2 linked regions of the Drosophila melanogaster genome follow. The protein of the gene in region 1 interacts with the protein of each later gene in a biochemical or structural test. Each region holds a gene or a part of one and is shown on either strand. Other genes may lie near its edges. The genes, in order: hppy and mats.

Region 1 (11,456 bases):
TATTACCCCCACCAGGAGCCACCAGAATCCATAGGATCTCTAGGCTTTTGCTTTGGCTATATAGCTGCAGTCGATGCGAATCGCGGGAATAACCCTTTGACATTTTTCAATTTGCCTTGGCTGTTGTTTTCGTCTTTTGTTTTTACCCGTCGCCTAGTTCAAGGCAAACATTTTTCGGCTAGTCTTGGTTAAGGTTTCCTTTTGCCCTACACTTTTTCATCGCTTTCTTGCTATTTCCTTCTCACTTTTTGCTTTGTTGTCTGGGCCGACAAAGTTGTTGGGCTTTTAGCGCAAATCATTTGGCTGTGAAGTTTGGTTTTTGCGTAGGACAGAATTTTGGAAATTCAGAGAGTCCTCGTAGAAACAATGACAACATTTTCGGCAAACAAAAGGAGCGGGGGGAGGGGGGCCGGCGTCATGGAACTGAGCTTTATGTTTAGCAGCAGAGCCAACTGCAATTGCAATTGCAATTTGTGTGAAAACCGAAACCAAACAAGCAGCAAATCAGCAAACATAAACACATACTGTCAGACAGACAAAACGCATTGAGCCACGCCCACTACCAACACACACACACACACACACACATGCGTTGCCTACGTGACCTCCTTAAGCGCCCACCGCCTCCCGTCCCTAGCCACACCCCCTTGCCTTGCCATCACTTTGCTGCTACAAATTCACTTCACTTCGTTCTTTTCTCTAGTAATTTTCTCAAAACCTTCCTACATCCCTCCTCCAACCTAAAAAATAAAAAAAAAACACAACCACCACCCACTCTAGATGAGAGCTTTGCGCCAATTTTTTCATGTTTTCATGCGTGTTGCGTGCACAACAATAACAACAACAGGGCAAAAACAAAATAAAGAGCCAGCAGCAACAACAATGACGAGGATGATTGTTAAAGTGTGGCAACAACAACTACAATGGATGGCGAAGTCAAGTGCCTGGCAAAGGCAATCACACACACACACAAACGAAAGCACACGCATAAAATATGTATGCGCCTATGCACTAGTATTTGTGCCAGTTTTCATTGCATAACGCTAGGTAACCTGGCACTTTTCCTTTTGTGCTCCGTGAAAAGCACAGAGTTCACTATTTTCATATTTCTGTTATTTTCTTTTACCCACTTGCGTTTCGCTCTCGAATTTCCGGTAATGAAAACCCGGTGCAACAGCAGCACCTTCCTCTTGAGTCAAAGTTTTTCCCGTCTTGAGTTTTCCCACCCGCCATGTCAGGTGCCATTTATACTCCAAGTTTTTCTCCAGAGGAATACTCGTACAAATTAAAAACATTGCAATAACTTTTTATATAGTGCATATATAAACATGCATAAAATAACTAGAAGTTAAAATAAATATTTTTTAAGAATATTGAATAAGGGTGAAATATGGAAAAAAAAAGAGCACAGTTAAATAAACTCGAAACAAGCACGTAATATTAAACTGAGTCACTAGTCAAAAAATTATACTTTAGTCTTTAAATCTCACTGAAAATATAAATATGTACATTTCATTTATCATCTGCATTCGTTAAATTGAACATCTAAATTTGCATGTCAACAGTCCAGCAAGACTGAATCACATAAATTTTTAAAGCTCCACCCATTTTCTCCAGCTGAACATTTATTTGCGGCGTTGCACTAAATTTTTGGATCATTGTGCCACTAATAAGAATCAATGAGTGTGTTGTGGGGTTAGAAGGGGGTGTGGCATATGGGAGGAGGTGGAGCAAACAAATTGGAGCAGTAGAAACCCAATTCCATTCGTAATAGCCTGTCAACAGGGCGCATTGTTGTTCATTTCGCTGTTATTATTTCTATTGTAAATTGATATCGCGAAACGAGTTGCGAAAAAAATGAGAGGAAAAGCGAGCTTTTCGATTGCCCTGCACTTCAAGTGCTCGATGTGTAATAATGGTTTAGCCAAAAACTTATGCGGAAAACCAAACTGCAAATTATCCCCAAAACCGATTGTTTTCATTTGGCGAACTTGTCGCTTGTGTAAACAGAATCGAAATGCCATCGTCTCCTTTCTAGATGTGTGGCATCATAAATTCCCTTGACAACCAAATACCTCGGTGTGAAAATAAATAAAAAAAAAACCGAAGTAAAAAGCAGGGGGAACGAAAGAGTGTAAATTGCATGGTGGATTGAAACCGAAACCATGGGCTTTGGACTCATGGCATGACGCATCTCATGGATGGAACATGGAGAAAAGATACAGAAAGCAGAACGGAACGGGCTCTAAAAAACAAAAACGAGACACAATCAGATGGCAAAATGAGTAGAGGGCCACAAAACCAGATGTGGGCAAACATAAATAAATAAATAAATAACACATTCGAAACTAATCCGAATAATCAATGCAAGCGCGTGGCTGCTTATCGAATAAATTGAAGTGAGGCAAAATGAATCAAGTCCCAATATCAGTCTGATGAGCAAGAATAAGCATAATCTCAACAGTCTTACGCTTTGATGACTAATAATGATTGCCTGAGTTTACAGAAAAACAAGACTTTAGTCAACATAAAACGTTATTAACAAAAGCCAACCAAAAAACTGCACATATTGTTTAAAACCTAAGCATTCAAATTAAGCGAGTCAAAAACCATTCAAATGTCGTGCAGAATTGTGGTGCACATTATAGACATATTGATTTCATTGTGCGCTGTCAAACCAAGTTATCAATATGCCAAAGCAAATTAATTAACAATTCTCTCATTTTCTACAAATTAAAATCTATAAATTACGATATACTTAATATCGAATTTCAAAAGTGCACAAACTAATTGAATTCCCATCTTTTATGAGCAATGTGAAATTTAATCAATTTCAATTTCGTCAAAATTAATCGAATGGAAAACGTTCGAAAAGCTGATGATTTATAGATTTTGGGTTGCCAACTAGAATGCAATAAATCGAATTGGGGAAATCCCTCGAATTCAAAGGCATTCCATATGGAAAATGAGGAACTTAACCCTTGGTCTGCACATGAGAAATACCATAATATCTCCCCCGATATATTCCCATATAATCCCGCCCCTGGCAACAACAATTGCAACGTGCCACGCCCCCCCGCCCAAGGGCAACTTCTCTGGCGTTTCGGGGCATTTGTCATACTTCCCTTCGACGGGCAGCAAGAGTAAACATGGAAGTTGGATGGTATAAAAAGAACGATCCAACAGAGAAGAAGATGGAAAACTAAAATTGCGCATATTTTTGTTTGTGGCGGGGCGAGGGGTTTGGGGGAAGGGGGTGCTGAAAGGGATGTGGAGTGAAGGGGGGGTGGGGGTAGTGAAGGAATGAGAAACATGCTGTGGCAAACAGATGTACAAATGAGGGTCTGCAAGTGGGTGGCGGTGGGGAGATCGAGGGGGTACATGCACTCTTGCACTGGAGCAAAAAAACATTCCTCCTTTATGATTTAATGCGTTCTACATTTTAACGCACATACAATTTTATTATTTATGTGGCGTGGTGAGCAATAATGATACTCCACATTGAGATATGTAACTAAATTCATTTTCTATAAATGCATAACGGACTAGAACTAGTTTTACCATATGGAACACATTCAACTTTAAAATTTATTCTTGATTATGTGTCCAAAAATTATCCAATAAGAACATTATTCCTAGGTTTTGCAATCCAATGAGGCAATAGTGTTACATAATGTGTGATGTCTCTTTATTGAACAGAAAACTTCCTGATACAATTCAAAGTGAATTAATCGAATTTGAGAACTGTTGGATAATTTTTTCCTGTGCAGACGGAATGCAAAAATTGCAGTGAGGGAAACTATAAAAACTTACGGATTTTTGGGGAAACATTCTAAATCCAAAGAGCACACTTTGCAATTTCTTTGCCTTTTGTTTGCTGTTGTTTTTATTTAGAAGTTTTTGCCTTTCCCTTCCTAATACCACTTTGTACTACAGCTAAAGGCTTCTATTTCGACTCACCTTATAGACGTCGCCGTAGGTTCCCGAGCCAATCTTTTGGATGAGTTCGTACTCGTCCTGCGGATTTCGGCGAGAGATGTCCGAGCTGAGCATATTGGCATTGTGGTGACTGTGGGCGGCGGCCATCTTGGCAGCTTCCGTATCCGTATGCCGTTGCCGTTTCCGCTTCCGCTTCCGCTTTCGGTTCGAGGCGATCGAGTCCTTTTGGCTGGACCTCTCTTTACTGGGTGGGTATACTCTTAATATTTGATTGACACTCTTACTCTTGACGCTGCTTTATTCGTTTTTTGGGTTTGACTGATTAGCACACGTAGCAGGCGAAATTTAGATACTTTTGTGGATCGAGATGCATTTTGGACGCTTTGAAATACACACAATTACGTAAGGTTAACTGGACTTTTGTATATTATGTATTAAACATATACATTTATTTCATATGAATCAGATTCTGATCAGAGAATTGAATTGATACACACACGAAACTAGAGAATCGCGAATTATGACGCAGAATAAAAAAAAAAGCGATGAAAACAAAAATCAGCAAATAAAGCAGCAACAACAAATTTGATAAAGGCCAGGGTGGAGAAGAAGGTGGAGAAAGCGCGGGGGTGGGAGCGAGAGGGCAAGTGAACGATGTCTCGTTTTTTGTAATCCCCTCTCTCGTTCGCGCTCTCTCTCTTCCACTGCATATATTCTTTATCTTCTCGTCTCCTCTTCCTTGCTTCTCAATGCATTTGCACTTTAATTACTTTTTATTAGAATTTATGAAGGCCACTTTTGTTTTTGCCAGCGAAATTGCCTAAATAAATAAATAGTTGCTGTGCTGCCGAGTAAAAAAACACGCGACAACAAAAACAACAACGCGAGGCGTGTCGCTTTGTCGCCCGTTCGTGGTGTTGTTGTTGCTGGTGTAAATACTACGTTTATTATTTTTTTTTTATAATTTTATTCCGATTTTCGCTAAGCGCTAGGTGAGCACCACAAACCGTTCACATATTACACCGACACGTGATTGCGGGGCAAATTCGGCCAGTGGATAATTAACAATTGTCCTACGAACACGAAAAATTTCACATGCACTTCGTCAACGCGCAGCCCACAAATGTTGTTGTTCCTCTCACCCCTCGCTAGCGATGGCACTCTGCCCGCGGGCCTATCGATAGCAGCGCTGGTCGTTCGGCGGTGGCAACTCTGTCGGGCTGTCGTTTCGAAGATATCGATATTAGTTGGCCAGAAGGGGTGGCCAGACAGGGGAAATTTTTAAACTGCTGAAGGACATTCGAAATTCAATAAAATGAATCATTGAATCCACATGAAAGTACATTTAGTAGCAGCGTTAAAGGAATACATTAGTTAAAGCTCTCAAATCTACTTCAATGTTTCTTTAGTTATTAATTAGAATGTCATACAAATGATTTGTCACTGTATTGCCAATCAGCAATGTTTTATAGGAACTTCCCCTTAATCTTTCCTACGTTACTAAGACCTAAATCAGCCACAAACTGGGAAAACTCCTTTGTGCAGACCGCCGTTCCCAACAACAACAATTGGATCCTAAACTCGAAACAAGTGAAATGTTTAATATCTACACGCAAACTACTGCCAACTGCTTTCCGAAAAATATCCGGTATTATTAGTGATCACAACTTTATTGATTCACCGAATTTGTTGTTTAATTTAAAAAAAAAACCCTAATTCACTTTTATTTTGTACAATTATTATTCGTGTTTGTAGAAAATACAAAATATCAAAGGGCTCGAGCACGTTGACACGGAGAAATGGGTTAAAAACGAATCCAAAGAACTTATTGCACATGTGTGTGTTCGCGTGAGTGTATAAATAAATAACGTAAAATGTATCGAGATGTTCCATAGCAGAAGAAGATGGTTAGCACAGCTCCTTCCTTCACTTCTATGTAACTAGGGTATTATTTCGATTAAGGTTTCTCGGCTTGGGGCTGTCTGGCTTGGATTCCAGGGTATTCCCCATATTCACAGCTTCCGTATGCTGCGATCTGCCGCCGCTGAATTGAGTTTAGTTCTGTGAAAATAAGAGAAAAACGAACGTTAGATATATCTAGACAAGTGCAATATCAATGGTTAACAATTGGAAAACAAGCTTCAAACAGTATTAGGCCGAATCTGAACGAATTAACTGAACAATCCTCAGAAGGAATTGCATTAGTATGGATCGCAGTGCGATCAAAACCGAACGAGAGTGTTAATTTAGTACACAACACAGTGGAGCAGAACGAGGAATTTCATGCGAATGCGTTGCCAGCTTACCCCGATTTTCCAGCTGCCAAAGGGTCAACTGGAAAATGCGCGAACCACACAAAACTGCAGCAGAACGGATCTAGAACCCTGGAGTTTTTTCTATTTTTTGTTTGGTCAAATCGAAGGAGGATTGTGTAGGTTCTTTTTTAACTATATATATGTATATATATGGCGTCAGAATGAACTCGCACATCGCTTGGATAGCACTTAAGAATGGTATTTAACTGGCTTTAAAGATGCTGTGCTGTGGCTGAGACCTTTCTACTCCTCACTGGCCATCCTGTGTCCGTGTGGGTGGTTTGGTTGTATTTCGTGTGAGGGATGCGATGAGAAAAAGAGCTCGAATTAGTGCCCAGAAGTTATATTACACATAATGAAACAGCGTGGCCAAGCGAGGTGACAGTGCGATTGGGTATGGGAGGATGCTAGCGGAAGCCGGAAAACGAAGCCGAATTTTCCATTTCTGACGCCAATTCAGTGGAGTGAGTAAATCAAAAATTGCTCTTGGTAAATATCAAACTGCATTTGGCGGATTCAAGTTGTTTACAAAAGAATAAGTATTCAGATAGTTGGATTGGTCACAAAATAAGGATTTAGTTAACTAGGTTTATATCTCTCTCTGTGAGTACCGGAAATGACGTTCTGTTTTATTTATTTTTTGTTTCATTGGGTGGGTGTGCGTATTCGTGTGTTGTGTTGTGTGTGTGTGTGGAAAGAGAAAAATAAAACGAAATCAATAAATTAGTATTGGGTATTGGTTAGGAGTTTGTAATTCCCTCAAATATCAAAATCGGGCAGAGAAAAGGATGAAAAGCTGACGGAGATTCAGGTACACTTACAGTTCCATGGAGAGCACCGTGGGATTGGGACATGCTTGTGGTGCCCGTATGTGGCACTGCTTGTGACTAATCAGCTGGCAGTCGCGACACTCGTAGCCCTGCTTTCCGGGCCTCCGCGGGATGGACTTCATACAGATGGAGCACTGCAGACCGCTTCTGGAATGTGAAAGGATTCGTTAATTATATTCAAAGCAACTAATGCTTACTACTTTAAACTTACCCGCTCAAATGCTTGGCGATGAAGGTGTGATCGTTGTAGATGTGCAGCTTGGTGCCCTTGCGACGCCAGCGCGGTCTCTGGGCGATGGCCAAAGGCACAATGAAGTGGCTAAAGATCATGCACATGAAGCAGTTCCATCAGAATCCATAAAATGCAAACACTCGATCGAAACTCACCGCTTTATGCCATTCTCGATGGTCTCCAGCACCAGGGTGGAGGCCTCGTGCACGTAGGTTTTATTGCTAGCCGAGGAAAAGCCTGAGATGGCCGAGGATTCTGAAATTGAGGAGCGACGTGAGTGGTCGGTGATGGAGTGACCAATGCCCATGCGTGGTCCTGCGTTTTATTAATTTTAGTGTGTGTTTGTTTTTGTTTTTTTTTTATGTGGCAAGTTGAGAGTGGCACACAAACCAAGCACCCGTTAGGACCCATCAAATCATATTTTGCACATATGAAAATAAACAAAAGAAAAGAATAGGAGAGGAGTATGAGAAATAATCACAACCAAAATCGAATCAGAGATTATAAAAAGAAAAATTCAAAAGCCAAATTCCAAAAATAAACCCAAATATTTACAAAAAATATTCCAAAAATATTCAACCGTGTTAAGTTTTTGTTGAAATAGGTGTTTCATGTGCGTGTATCGGAACCATGAAATACATACAGATTCGTGTTGTGGATCACAGTTCAGTTAGCAGTTGATGGGTATTGTGTTAAGGGAGAGAAGATAAAACAGACAACAGATGTAGATACAAGTACAGATACAGATTACCAAACAGTTAATTTACAAGCTTTGAATGGTACAATATCTTGGGGTACTTAAACTTTAAGGGAGAAAAGCAATTTACACTTAGTACTAAAGTTATTCATGAAATAAGATGTGATGTATGAAAAATAATGATTTTGTGATTTGAATCATGGCTTATAACTACTACTTATAAGGCTGAAGCCTGAATAATAAAGCGAAAGTCCCAATTACATATGAAAATGGACGCTTTTTAGAGAGCCAAAAATATGAACAACTTAAGATAGGTATTAGACATAAAAGATTTTGCAATGCACTAAGCAGTTAATAGTTGTTCTATATGAAGTGATATTCCTTCGCAGAGTTATTAGCAGAATGCAGGAGTTGTCCAAAAAAATTGTGCGTTAAGCCGGGCTCAAATAGTTAAAACGTGGACACTGGCGGAGGACTGTGACTGAGATGGTAATTACCAAGTGAATTGCTTTTGGACAGAGTGGCACGATCGACAGATAATGAACGGGAAGAATCACCATTGAGGGTTCCGGTGGCTGTTCGAGGGAATCCGGTGGCTGTTGTTGTATTCGAGTTGGTGGCTGATAGTGACTTATGACTGTTATTATTAGGTTGATCGGCCGAGAGGGTGCGTGTCTTGGAGCGGCTGAGCCGCTTCTTCAGGGTGCCAAAGAAATTACGTTTTTTGCTGCGCCCGCGATCATCGACCACGTCATGGCCCTCCAATAATCCGGATTGCTGAGCCAGCTGCTGGGCACCACCGTTTCGTGGCAGACTGTTATATCCGCCCGAACCGGCGCCATTCGAGTTACCATTGCCATTGAGGCTATAGTTGTTGTGGTAACTACTGCCATTGGGCGATGAGGCGGCATTGGGCTGGCCAAACTGCAAGTGATTCAACGGTTATTAATGCGGAATCTTCTCTAGCTTTCAACTCTAACTGCATGCCATGCCGGTGAACTTAGTGAACTCAGTGTACTTACCTCAGCGGTGCTTTCCTCGTTGACGGTGCCATTACCTGAATCGATGAGAGGCTCACCCAGCTGGCTGGACTTCTCCTCCTTGGCCAGCTCCAGCTCAAGTTCGGTTTGTGCCTCATTGGCGGCACGTTCGAATGCCTGAGCCACTGCCTGATCCAATTCCGTCGCCGTATCGGTCACCTCGATTTGGCCATCTCTATTCAACTCGACCTGATTGGTTCGAGGATTTGGTTAAAGAAGCGCATTTTTGGGGGGGTTAGGCAGAGCAAACAGAACGAGAAACATTTTGAAATTAGCTTGGCTTAAATACTAACTAGCCTACATGACTTGAACATCATCATGAGGGCGGGATTAGAGACGCAGTAACTCAGATAACTCAAAGGAACGATTGAAGTAATGATGACCAGGTCTGGGTGTTTACCTTAAATGCATTCGGGCTGCTTGAATTCTGGGCGGGATCAAGAGACGGAAATGAAATGAAATAAAGGTAAAGAAAAACAAAAGGAAATTATAAAAACCGTACAATGCGGAAAAGGAGGGCACGAAATGTATGAAACCTCTAACGAAAATTGGGTGTCACGGATGTTATTTTATTCTCGGAATCTTTGCCCGAAGAAATGTGTTTCCACAACAAGCGTGAACCCATTTTAGCCATACACACTCACCCGCTGCACACTGTGGATGATCAAAGTGCTCTTGCTGGGTTGTCCGCCACTTCCGCTGCTCGAGAGCGCTCCATCCTGCAGAGCTCTTACGGCTGCATCCGCTAGATCTGCTCCATTTCGGATGTGTTCGTTAATGGCCGGTGTGCTGAGACGCAGTGCCTCCTTGAGACGCTGTGGACGTGCGCCCGCCGGGATTTCGGCACCCTCAATGAACACAAAGTCCACGGTGATGGCTCCCGAAACGGGCTGCGTCTCATAGGGGCGTGGTTGCAGCTGCAACAGTTGAGTGGATGCGGGTCCAACGGCCAGCTCATCGATTCCAACCAGGCCGAGACCCAGAAACTTGGGCGGATCTGAGGCAATCACCGGATGGTCATACACCTCGAACAGGATCTCAGCTGATTGAGGGGAGAGTTCACTACAATATTGAAGAAAAACATTACTATTTCTGGCCAATATGAAATCAGTGAGCACTTACAAGAGGAAGTGCTCATCCCAGAAGGGTTTGCCGCCGCGCTGAGTACCCGTCTGATTCTTCTGGGCCGGCTCGTCCATCTCGATGACCACGTAGGGATTCTGGGCATCCCTTATTCCATCGCCCTTGACGATCTTCACCAGCAGCCGACGGCCGGAAACCATGTGTTGCGAATCCCTCAATCCCACGCCACCCATGTGCTGCTCCATGTTGTGCTGTGTGAATTGTAGGAGGACAACATGCGATGAGTGAGTGCAGTGAGAGACAGAGAAAAGATAGAAGTCAGGGAAGAGGTACTTCATTCTGAGAAGAGCGATAAAAAGACGGAATTAGGGGCTTATGAAATTCGCCTTTAATTAGGAACTAATGCGTGACAGACACTAGAAATTGTAATAATATTGAAAGTATTGGTTGCCCTGAAAAGAGAGAGCGCAAAAGATAGTTCTTTTTACTTTCAAGGATCAGCAGGGATCATAGGGGGTAACAAAACGAATTCTCAACGGAAACACGAGCGATGAAAGGCGAATTCCATAAACACAATGAAGGACGGGAGCAATGAGAAGTGTCTGTTTGTTTTGCTTGGATGACAACACTGTACAGATAGTCTCAAGTCGAGTTCTGTGTGCGATGACAAGTGTACCAGGACACAGGAGTACAAAGAACAATAAACACAACACTGCCACAAATACGGGAGCTGGCATCTTCTCACTGCTCCCGACGCTCACCGCCAGCGAGTCATAGTGAACGGGATAGATTACGGGCAGGTCCAGGGGCTCCACTTCGGCCCTTGGACAGGTGGAGTAAATGGAGAAGTCCACCGGATAGATGGTGTCGCGCAAAGCCGTCGTCAGGATGTCGCTGATCACCGTCTGCAATTGCTGTTCATCCTGATCCATTGCCTTGATGGCACCCACGCTGTTCATCGCGATGCGAACCTTTGGAAAAAGAGTGATGTTTCGGTTAGTATCGAATATGGTCTTGGTATTGGTTTATAATTGTGTCGAAACAGTAACACAACTCATAAATTAACTCTACTTTAAGTTCACTTTCATGTTAATCAAACTTTTATGAGTTGTATGATTTGTTTAAATTTTCTTTTTGCTGTTACAAAAAGTTACTTACATCCGGATAGCCCTCGACTCGCATCTCACCCTTGAGGCTGTTGTAGTTCATGGGAATGGCCATACGGGCGCGGAACCTAGACACGGTGACCTTGTAGTGGGAGGTCTCCACCTTGCCCGACTTTTGGCGGAAGGTCTTCACCTGCAACACCGGCATTGCATC
Region 2 (11,456 bases), on another chromosome or scaffold:
GGTTCCCATTCCCTGCTTCTGCGAGCAGAGAGCTCCACTCTGCCATCGCACCGCGAAAAGGATGAGATTCTGGAGGAGAGCACCAGGGGCAACGATCCGGAGCCAGTGGTGCCAACTGTCCAATTCTACACGGCCACCTTTGACGAGAAGAATGCCCAGGAGCAGCTGCTTTCCTCCTTCATCGATCGCTCCAAGCTGTGGAAGAAGACCACCATCCGGAAACTGAATCAACCTGCCGCTACCTTGTCCCTCGAACCGAAATCCACGGAGGCGGAAGGTCCAGAGAATCGTCAGCTTACCCGGAGCGTGGATAGCTCCAGTTCCGGATCCGTGAGCAGCAATGAGATCTCCCACGACAGCGGCAGTCACGAGATCAAATTCGAGATCAGCAATGTGAGGAAGACCACCACGCCCACGACCACTACGTCTACGACTACATCCACAACCACTACGCCCAGACCCCGCACCACTAGACGTCGCACCACGACAACGACGACAACCACGACCACAACCACGCCAAGGCCCACCCACAATGAGGATGGGGAGAACATAGAGCTGGTCGACAAGCAGGACATTCGCATCCAGGAAGCGCCACTCGTGACCGCTTTCACGGTGGATCTGGACGAGCGTGGTACGGCTCAAAGGTTCCGCCCATTGCTGGCGGGCAACCAGCTCCATCAGCGCACCGCCAACTTTGCAGCGCCACAGCAGCAGCAACAGCTGCCCCACATCGGACCCACCATCACTAAGCTGAATGTTTTGGAAACAGAGCCGCCGGCTACTCAGCTGCCCACCCAGTTCCCGCCCACAGGCGGCAGCACCTCCACCACACAGATCAGTACGAGCACCAGTGCCGGCGGTGGTTTCTCCACCACTCCCGCCTTCCTGGCCAGCTCTACGAGCAATTATGTGAAGGTATGCTGCTCAAAACTAAATCGCTATTTTTTATTGACTAGCAAATACCTTTCGATTGATATTTAATAATAATAATTCTTCATTAATGTCAAATGATAATTATTTTAGCAGGAGCCCCTGAACAATCTGCCTGAGCCGCCCAGTGTGAATAACTATCTGATCGAGCGACAGCGAGCTCTGGAGCAGCAGATCTACCAGTTGAAAGTGCAGGCACAACAGCAGCAGGCTCTGATCCTGCGTCAACTGAAGCTGTTAGAGGAGCAGACCCAAAGCCGTTTCCAGGGCTCACCGATTGCCCAACCCAGCACATTGCAGCCACAGCAGCAACAACAGCAGCAGCAACTGCCGCAAGTACAGCAGCAACTGCCGCAAGTACAGCAGCAACATGGTCCGCTGGAGGCCATTCAGACGGGTCTGCAACCGCCCACTTTGGGCGCGGGTTACTCCATAAGACCTTCGGTCGAATTTATACCCAGCACACATACCAAGACTGTTATTTATCCCACATATCCAATTGAGCAGCAATTGCCGCTGCGCGATGCCGTTTCGGGTCATAAATTCGCCCTGCACAATGGCAACATAAACGCGAATAACTATCAGAAGCCGCCAGCGAATGCAGTGCAGCAGATTTTCCAAAATTTGCAGCAATCTCTACAGAAATCGAACGAAAGCCCCCAGGTTCAGCCCTCCAATCAGTTCAACTTTGCACCGGCCGAGGCGTCGCAACTACAGGCCTTGCCCCATAACAATTACAAGCCATTTCAACAGCAGCAGCAGCAACAGTTGCTGCTGCCCAACTACGTCAGCAATGCGGTGTTCCAGCAGCAGCAGCAACAACATCAGCAACAGCAGCAGCAAAGGGCGCGGCAATTCCGCCAGGAGACGGGAGTAGGTAACTTCGGTTTGAATTCCAATGTGGAGATTCAGCCGAGCAACTCCTTCGCCACCACGATTGTTAGCCAGCAGCCTGGCCTCAATTCCAATCCCAGTCTGGAGAACCAGAACTTCTACAGGCAGCACTTGACGCCACAGTTGAGCAACCAGTTGCAGCAAAACGCGCAGCAATATCTGCAGCAGCAGCAGCAGCAGCAGCAACAGTTGCAGCAGCCAAAAGCCAGCGGCGACATTAGTCCAGGTAATGCACACTATAAGAGCAGACCGAGTGGCCCCAGTGGCAATCATCTTAGTCAATTTAGCAGCTTAAGAAATCTTGACGAATTGAAAGTAATCAGTAAAGTTTTAGCTCTCAACCATGGGATACCGCAGTTCGCCTCACAAAACCTGCACTTCAACGGGGCCTTTTGAGCACTTGCACCACCAAAAAGCACCACCAACCAGCACCACCATCCCGCTCCACAACCAGCACGAACTCCAAACACCTCCTGCTCCTCTGAGTCCTTTTTACCCAGAAACAAGTATCTACCGCCCTACACGTTGACTTAAGTTTTGCGTACAACATCTTTGTAAATATACAATCTATTTTAAAGCGTAAGCATCGACCTAAGAAAAACATATAAAAATGAGCAGGATGAGTAATGCGGAGGATATGAGAATTATGGTAAAGCAATGTGTTGAAATGTAACAATTATTTATTTTCTATGTGAATAAAGTTTATCTTAAAGTACAACAGCAGCTTGTTTTTAGATATATTTTCATAATGATAACATAAAAATAAAGATTTCTGATGAACCACTTACCATCATGGTACTTATCTTTTGGGTTATAATTTTTGAAAACTACGAAGTATTACGACCAGAAAACCGGTACAGTGTTTATGTTAACAGCGCATTAACAGAGTCTGTAAACGTATTCGAATTCTCCCATCCCTAACATGCGTGCATCGGCGTCAATCGAAATCGGCAAATTTAAAATACAATGTGACAAAGTCAGCTTTTCTCACCAATCAATTCGAATTAAATTAATCCAATTGAGCCAAAACGCAACAATTAAGCTTGCAACGGATCAGCACTTATGTAATTTTAGAATGCGATTTGCCTATGCGAAATGCCGACGAGACGAGCGATTAAAAAAAACGCTGAGTACGCGTAAAAGCTTGAAAAGCTTATTTCATTTGGCGAGTGAATGTCGCAATTTGTTTATAAACAATTGCTTTAGTTCGCCGACAGTCGTTACCGCCAAAGGAGCGCCATGTGGTCGCGCAGCAGCAGTTCCAAAAGACAAGTGGCCACCACCGATGGTGACCCCGAAAGGGTTTTGGCGCAGGTCCAGGATCTCAGCGACTGGCTCGTCGCCAATCCGCAGATCAACGGATGCAACACCTTCGAGAACCTGCACTTCTTCCTCCGCACCTCCAAGTTCGATGTGGAACGGGCCAAAAAGAAACTGAAAACGTTCTACCAAATGCGGGCGGAGCGCACCGAATGGTTCGATAATCGCGATCCCCAATTGCCCGAGATCCAGGACCTACTCAAGCTGGGCGTCTTCCTACCCATCGGTCCGGATGCCGAACAAAGGATGGTGGTGGTCATACGCACAGCAGCACACGATCCCAAGCTCCACAGCCAGAACAATGTTTTTAAAGTGAGTCATGGAAATATGTACACAGGAAAAAATAAAATACAACGATTTTATGAAATGTCTTAAACTATATGTAGCTAACAAATTAAACATAGTCATGAAGGCGAACTTTTCGTGCTTTAATAAAAAATAACTTAACATTTTAATAATATGAAATACGATAAGTTTCGTCCACATTTTTTCCTCCATATACTTATATCTCCAACCTTTGTTTCCCAGACCAGCAAAATGATATTGGACCTGCTGCTAAAGCTCGATCCGGAGACCTGTGCCCGCGGAATGGTGGCTATTCTGGATATGCAGGGCGTTCAACTGGGGCACGCTCTTCAAATGAATCCGAAGCTCATCAAGAGATCCGTGGAAAGCTGGACCGCATATCCATGTCAGCCCAAGCTATTGGAATTCACCAACGCCCCGCGCCATGTGAACTTCTTTTTGAACACCTTTAGGTGGGTTGTATGTTCTAAGTCAAATTAGAATTTACTATATATTATCATTTTTTTTAGAATATTCATGACGCCCAAGATAAGATCGCGACTTTTCGTGCGTCGTGAAGGAACATCCGTGAGCTGCGATCAGTTGCCAAAGGAACTCGGTGGTCAGGGATTAAGCTATATGGAGCTGTCTGTGAAGTGGAAGCAGTTGGTCGAGGAGAACGCCGATTTCTATGTGGAACAAGACAAATACAAAAGCAAGCTCAAGTGATTGGGGTTAGTGTGGCGGCAGTGATAACAAGGCGATTAGCCGAATGTTATAGATTAGTCGAAAACATTTACAATGCGCAAATGCACAAAGGCGCATATCAGTTGTCATATTTTATGGAAGGGTACTACAAATACTCCCTAATTCCCCACTTAACCATATTTGTATATATTATAAGTCATTACGTTAAACCTTTTTAAAAAAGGTTATTTTCGTTGTGTTAATCATCAATGTTATCTTTTTTTTTTTGCTTAATAAAGTGTCAATACACGATAAACCAAACAAAAAAGAGACGAGTTTATTCATAATATTCTCTTTATTAGTATAAAACGTATCAAAAATGTTTATCAAGTCTACAATTATTATCAGTTATTGGGTGCTGCCGACCGTCGCCTCAAATTGCTGGGGTTTGCATTACAAAATCGCTTGATCCGCTGAACCGCGAGCAATTAGCGATAGTTTAATAGTAATAAATACATAGAATACATACAGAAAGAAAAACGATAAACAAGGAAACACGCATAGTTTGTGAACGTAATATTTGTTGTTTCTCGAAAGCGGGAGGTGTTAGTTATAAAAGGCGTGCTGTTGCTTTTGCTGCTTTTGTTTTCTCCTTTACATATACATATAAATATGATTTATACGTTTTTACGTTTCACATATAAAAATATAGTAGTTGCTCTGGATCAGCAATTAGCCCGCTATAGTTCGGTTCACATTGCCAATTGGCGGTTTTTTGTTTTCTTTTGTTTAGTGGGAGGCACCCCATGAAGCAATGAACGAAACATAAAAGTATTGGCGGTAACTAACTAAAGCGTAATACACGAGTCTGCCAGAGCGCTTTCATCACAAGTCCAACTGCAAGCGCAGACCACCACCACCGCCGCCGGAATCGCGAAAATTCGCGGCTCCATGCAGTGATTCCTATATCTGCCGCTCATCCTTAGCCGTCAGCTTGTCGATGAGCTCCTGCAGCGGGGCCAGTTCGCGCCGCTCAATCAGATTGAACTCCTGCACGAAGAAGATGAAGTGCTTGAAGGACGTGTTGAGATGGGCCTCCTCGCCAAGCGTCACCACCTCTGTGAAGTGCTGGTGGTAGATGTGCGCATACACGCGGAACAGACGCTTCAGTATGGTCTTGGCGGAGGAGTGAAAGTTCTTTGGAAACGGCACGCCGATCTTGGAGGGAAACAGGGTCTCGTCGTCCAGCTGATCCTGCACCCAAGTCATCAGATAGTCAATATACTTGGGCGCGCTGCACTTGATGGGCTTCTTTACGGTCAAACCGTCGGCCCAGTGGTACTCGTATTTCGGACCAGCCGACATGATGCCACAGGTCTCCTCGGTGCAGAACTCGGTGATGGTGCCGTACAGCATGTTGATCTGGTTGAAAAAGTCCACGGCTGCGAAGGAGTGGCAATAAGAATTGGTTATCTTTCGCTAGTTACACTATACTAGACTCACTGTTAACGGCCACCCACTCGTTGAGATCCTCGCCATCTGGAAGGGCCACTGCATTGCGCAGGTTTCCCGATCCCAGCGTGGCTGCCGCATGCTTCATGAGATCATATTGGTGTGTGCCTTCCGGGATGTTCTTCTTGGGCTTGAAGGTCTTGCTGGAACGGGAACCGCTGTGGAAAGAGAAAGGCAATAAGTCGCGGCCCCAAACAGCCCCACTCAGTAAAACATAATACAGTAAAGATTCTATAGATTGAAACGTAAGCGACTTCGTTCAATTTACACTCCCTAAAAGAAATATTTCCTTTTTTTTTCTTTTTTTAAATTCACTGAGGAAGAATGCAAGATATCTTTGAAAAGCTATTTTTTAAACACCGCAGACAAAATTAGGGAAGTTCCACTGTACAAGAGGTTGGGGATATCACCCCAAAAAGGGCAAACAAAGCCGGAAAGTCAGATGTGGGGCGGGGTGATCCAAGCTTTCTTTGTGCTCGAAAGGATTGCAGTTGCACTACGTTTTGCCCCCCTGAGAACTTACAACAAGAAGTCCATGGCATGCAATTGCTGTGCTTCGCCTTTCACTGAGCCTCCAATGGAATTTTCCTATGCGTAGACTTTTCCGGCGAGTGCCACACCGCTTTTTCGGCTCTTCTGTGTCGTGTCAGCAGCTTTATTCCGCCGATTTTTACACAATTAGCGCCGAATAATAATTAAAGAAAAGTGACTGGAATTCGCAGCAGGTTTCTTTCTCTGGTCAATTGGGAAATGACAATGATGGTATCTGTATCTGGCCTCCAGTTGGTCGGTCTGTTAACTAGTGCCGTAGCCCAACAGCTGATGCGAGCGGTTCCAGGAAGTGTGCCGAGCCAACTAGTTAATTCTGTTGTGTTTATAAACGCAAAAAATTTGTTATAAATAAAAATAAAATTGCTTTCACACACAGAGACAGTTGATGAAAGTGCGAGAGGGACAACGCGACAGGTTATCAGGCTATCAACGTGGCCAGCCTGTTAAAATAATTCAGTACGGTACTGCGGTATTTTATCTGGTATGTCCCTAACATTTCGCAATCGGCTTGCTATGGTCACACTTGAAGTAAGCACGTGGGAAAACAACTGTAGCAGCATCGTGGGTGTATAAAAATATATATTTCTTAATTAAATCGGCATATATTCGGCATAGACATGGTAAATATTTCAGTGCAATAATCATATATTTGAATTTTCTGCGGGTTGCCCGTGAAATGAAAATGTTTTCCCTGCGAAAACTAACCTACACACGCGGAGCACCCAAAACCACATGTGTCTGCCACCGCATCAGACTGATAATTTTTCATTTCCCCGCCTCCAGTCGAACCTGTATGTGCTGTACGAGCATGCGGCGGGCTTCTCGCTCTTCTCCGTCAAGGAGTTCGAAGAGGTGTCCATGTTCCTGCCCCAGGTGGAGTCCTCGGTGACGGACCTCGCCAAGTTCAACTCAATTGTTAAGCTGGCTGGATTTGCACCTTTCAAGACGGCCATTGCCGCACTGGAAAACATCAATGCCATATCCGAGGGCATAGTGCCGCAGGATCTGCTCTCCTTCTTGGATGACTTCTTTGCCAAGCTGAAGAAGAAGAAGTGCACCCTGGGTATTGCGGATGCCAAGCTGGGAGCTGCAATCACCGAGGCCATTGGCGTCCAGTGCAGTCACTTTGGAGTGGTTCCTGAGATTCTGCGCGGCGTGCGATTCCACTTCGCTAAGCTGGTCAAGGGTAAGCTACCTGCTTTGCAAGGAAAATCCTCTTTGTCTAACTAAAGCCTCCTCCATCCGATGCAGGATTCACCGACAAGTCCGCTGGCGTTGCTCAGCTGGGTCTGGGCCACAGCTACTCGCGTGCCAAGGTCAAGTTCAATGTTCATCGTTCCGACAACATGATCATCCAGTCGATTGCTTTGCTGGATCAGTTGGATAAGGACGTAAATACCTTCTCTATGCGGATACGCGAGTGGTACTCGTATCACTTCCCAGAACTGGTCAAAATCGTTCCCGACAATTACATGTTCGCCAAGGCGGCCAAGTTCATCAAGGATCGCAAGAACCTCACGCAAGACCAGCTGGAGGATCTTGAGAAGATCGTCATGGACTCCGCCAAGGCTCAGGCTATCATTGATGCCGCCAAGATGTCCATGGGCATGGACATCTCCATTGTTGATCTGATGAACATTGAGCTGTTCGCAGAGCGCGTTGTCAAGCTTTCCGAGTACCGAAAGAAACTGTCTACCTACTTGCACAACAAGATGAACTTGGTGGCACCCAATCTGCAGTCTTTGATTGGCGACCAGGTCGGTGCCCGCCTGATATCGCATGCCGGCAGCTTGACTAATCTGGCCAAGTACCCAGCATCTACAGTACAAATCCTGGGTGCCGAGAAGGCGCTCTTCCGTGCTCTAAAGACCCGCTCCAATACGCCCAAGTATGGTCTTATCTATCACTCCTCGTTCATTGGTCGAGCTGGCCTGAAGAACAAGGGTCGCATCTCTCGATTCCTGGCCAACAAGTGCTCCATCGCGTCGCGTATCGATTGCTTCCTGGAACAGCCGACTAGCGTGTTTGGCGAAACTCTTAAGCAACAGGTCGAAGATCGCCTCAAGTTCTACGAGTCCGGCGATGTGCCGCGCAAGAACATTGAGGTAATGAAGGAGGCCATCGAGGCAGCTGGTCAAGAGGCGGCAATCACTGTACAGTCCGAGAAAAAGAAGAAAAAGAAGAAGCGAGCGGCTGAAGACGAGGGCGAGACGAATGGCGCCAGTAATGGAAACGGAGCAGCCGCCGAGGCGGAAAATGGCAATGGCAACGATGATGGAGAGCCAAAGAAGAAGAAGAAAAAGAAGAACAAAAACAAGGAAGCGGTGGAGGCGTAAATGTCTCTGTTACATTCAACTTAGTTTAAGTCCACACTATTATCTTTTACTTACATGCTTCTTTTGTATTTCCTTTGACCCCCTGATGGATCGCATTTCAAATAATAATAAACATATACTTTGGAGGGTATTCCCACCGGAATTTTATGAGTTTGCGTTTTAAATCAAGAGACTATCATAATTATTGGTTTCAATTGTTTTATATTTCATATTTGCTTTACATTCAATTTATATACAGACACATCGTAACGTTAACTATTGCTAAAATTGTTTGATTTTATTACGTGTAGTATTTTGTTTAACAATTTCAATGTTGGATCGCTCAGCCGTCCGTCCGCGCGTTGTGCTAACGAATCCGTTTAGTACAACCATTATTCAACTACTCTGTGTATTGCATTTGATGACGACTTTCAAATTCCGAGTGGACGATCAGGACGGATGTGGAATTAATGGGTTTGATCCGGAAAATTGCATCGGGGGTAAATTGTTTAACAACGAATTTAGAAACAAATTGCACGTGTCGCAAACTTTGTACAGCAAGGGGAAAGGAAAACGTAAATAATATATAGAACTGACAAGTTTAGCGATCGTGGAAATGTGAATGTGAGAGTGGACATTTTGGGTAGTAGGTTGGTTGGGTTAAATTAGGCTAAAAAATATCATTGAAACAAGTCGAATGCCGACGAGCTATTATTGTTATTATTGCTGTGATTCTGCTGCTGCTGCTGGAAAGCTCCAAAGTTGGCAAATGCTGATTGGTTTTGTGGAATGCTTTGCTGCGGTGCCGGAGCCCCAAAAATGTTCGGACTGGTCATTGGCGACAGTCCAGGGAATCCGCCACCCGTCTGCACATTCAGTGGCGCCTTTGCCGGACTGTTGGTCTTCAGGGCATTCATCGAAGGGGCCGGGGCACTGGGCTTGCCCGACTTGCTCATCAGCAGATTGTCCAGGTCAATGTTCATCTTGCCGCCCTTCAGGTCGCCCGACCAGGTGGCGCCCACAGCGGTAGACTGGACACTGGCAGCGGCGGGGACTGCGCCTCCGTTGGTATTATTGTTATTATTGGTCACCGACATGGGCTGGAGCAGATTATTGCCCGTGACGGCGGGAATGGGAGGCATCATATTGTCTGGAAAAAAACAAATGCAATAATAATGTTATTCGGGGTTTCAGTTTTCGTTTTTATTTTGGTTTCACAAAAAGCTGTTTTAAATATGTGGCTTCGATAGAATTGCGAATGCGGCTACTTGGTGATCGGCTAATGAGGTGGTCACTACTCGGAAGCGTTTGCGCAGCAAATCAAGTGCAATTACAGAAGGAAAGAATAGGTTCGTATCTGTTATGTGGCTATTGCCGTTTTGGATTGGTTTACCTAATGAGTCCGTGGCTGCGGAGGCCGCACAATGCCCGGAATATTGAGAAATGCTTTTCAATTCATCATTATTAAGTACATATGTATGTATATATTTGAGAAATAATATTGGATCCAATGTGTGTGTGGTTTGCAATACAAATATGCAGTAGGAGAAAAACAAATAAACAAAAGAAAGTAGTATAAATGAAGTAAATCCATATATGTATACCTGGAATACAATGGCTTCGAGGGCGATAGATATTTAAAAAATAATTCCTAGAACTGTTGTCTTATTTCTAGCAAATACCTAACTCTCGAGTCTATTATTAGTTTATACAATTATAAGAAAATGTTTAAGGACACAGCGTTAACGTTTGTATGAGAATTGATGTAAAGTATGAAGTAATCTTGTATTTAATCATATATATCATATATTAATTCGGAAATATTTCAGTAAAAAATTGTTCGTTTTTCCGTAACAAGAAATATGCTTAGTGTATTTTAAATACAGTTTTAATATTTTAAATCTCTTAAAACTCTATAGGCTGCTTTCAAAACTTTTTGATGGCCAAGTTAGGCAGCCTGTTCCATGGCGGCTGTATCAAAGAGTTTGTAGCAGGTGTCCAAAATGCTTTGGGCCAGTTCACGACACTCCTCCGAAGTCTCTCCGCCCACCAATGGCGATCTTATGAAGTCATTCAGCCAGCGCTGCAGTTCGTTCAATGACTCCGCAAAGTGCTGGGCCAGCACATGAGCTGGTGTGGTTACCAAGGCGATTCCTATTAGCTGCAATGTGGCCGCTCGGACGCGGGCCTCGGCATTGAAACGCACAAAGGCGCATAGGTCAAAGATCTCGCGGGTCATCGCTGGCAACAGTGGACAGTTCTGGGAGCACATAACCAACACGGACATGGTGTTTAGCAGGTTAACAAGCAACTGGGTGTCGATGTCGTGAGAAATATTTTCGTATTTTACGTAAAGCATCTGACGGGTGCGCTGTCCCCTCACCAAACTGAAGAAAAATGTACCGGCAACGGGGTGAAATGGGTTGGCCTTCTCCATTTGATCTCCAGCTTTGGGCTTGCTGAAATATCTCTTCGTCTTGGCCCGCAGCCGGTCGCGGATGATCCTTTGCGCAGCGGCCAGACGAGCGGCCGGACTCTCCTCCTCCTGTTGAAATTCGAACTTTCGGGGATGCTTGGCTGCCGGTGGTATAACATCCACAATTTCCATCTCATTCTGCATGTTTTCATCGCCAGAAAGTTCTTTCGCCGTTGCTGCCAGTACCTGAAGGATCAGAATACGGACACTGGCCGAATAGAAGGAGTTATCCGTGTGGAACTGGCGGCATAGGTACTCGGCACAGGGACCAGGATGAGCCACACAAATGGCCACGCAACACTTAAATTGCGTACGTTCGAATTGCTCATAGTAGAACTGCATTTCCATGACCAAGAAAAGTTGTAGCAGATCCAAGGCCAACTGAGTATCATGTTTGGCCAGCTGACCCCGTATAAGTTGCTCCGCTGTGCCCAAGGCTCCTTCGAACACCTGATAATTCTCCACCTTTTCTCGGAGCAAGTGCA

The links.
Region 2: of the proteins of hppy (region 1) and mats, one has a biochemical effect on the other in vitro, tested with the Drosophila melanogaster proteins (one study listed by BioGRID).

What each region holds. Positions count from the first base shown.
Region 1 is NT_033778.4:19,172,363-19,183,818, reverse strand, and holds the start of hppy (happyhour), read right to left. Parts: upstream 5,082-11,456; 5' UTR 4,947-5,081; intron 4,321-4,946; 5' UTR 4,087-4,320; coding exon 3,961-4,086; intron 1-3,960. Other genes in the region: CG10737 (uncharacterized protein), read right to left, coding at 6,830-6,878, 7,076-7,231, 7,296-7,403, 7,472-7,631, 8,511-8,937, 9,036-9,242, 9,454-9,480, 9,698-10,115 and 3 more.
Region 2 is NT_033777.3:22,416,298-22,427,753, reverse strand, and holds mats (mob as tumor suppressor), read right to left. Parts: upstream 6,594-11,456; 5' UTR 6,166-6,593; coding exon 6,152-6,165; intron 5,787-6,151; coding exon 5,620-5,786; intron 5,559-5,619; coding exon 5,080-5,558; 3' UTR 4,452-5,079; downstream 1-4,451. Other genes in the region: CG13847 (uncharacterized protein), read left to right, coding at 1-915, 1,024-2,050, 2,159-2,220; pinta (prolonged depolarization afterpotential (PDA) is not apparent), read left to right, coding at 3,064-3,456, 3,673-3,902, 3,960-4,158; Nop56, read left to right, coding at 6,798-6,800, 6,964-7,366, 7,432-8,516; lqfR (liquid facets-Related), read right to left, coding at 10,444-11,456. UniProt on the Drosophila melanogaster protein: Coactivator of Warts (Wts) kinase in the Hippo/SWH (Sav/Wts/Hpo)signaling pathway, a signaling pathway that plays a pivotal role in organ size control and tumor suppression by restricting proliferation and promoting apoptosis.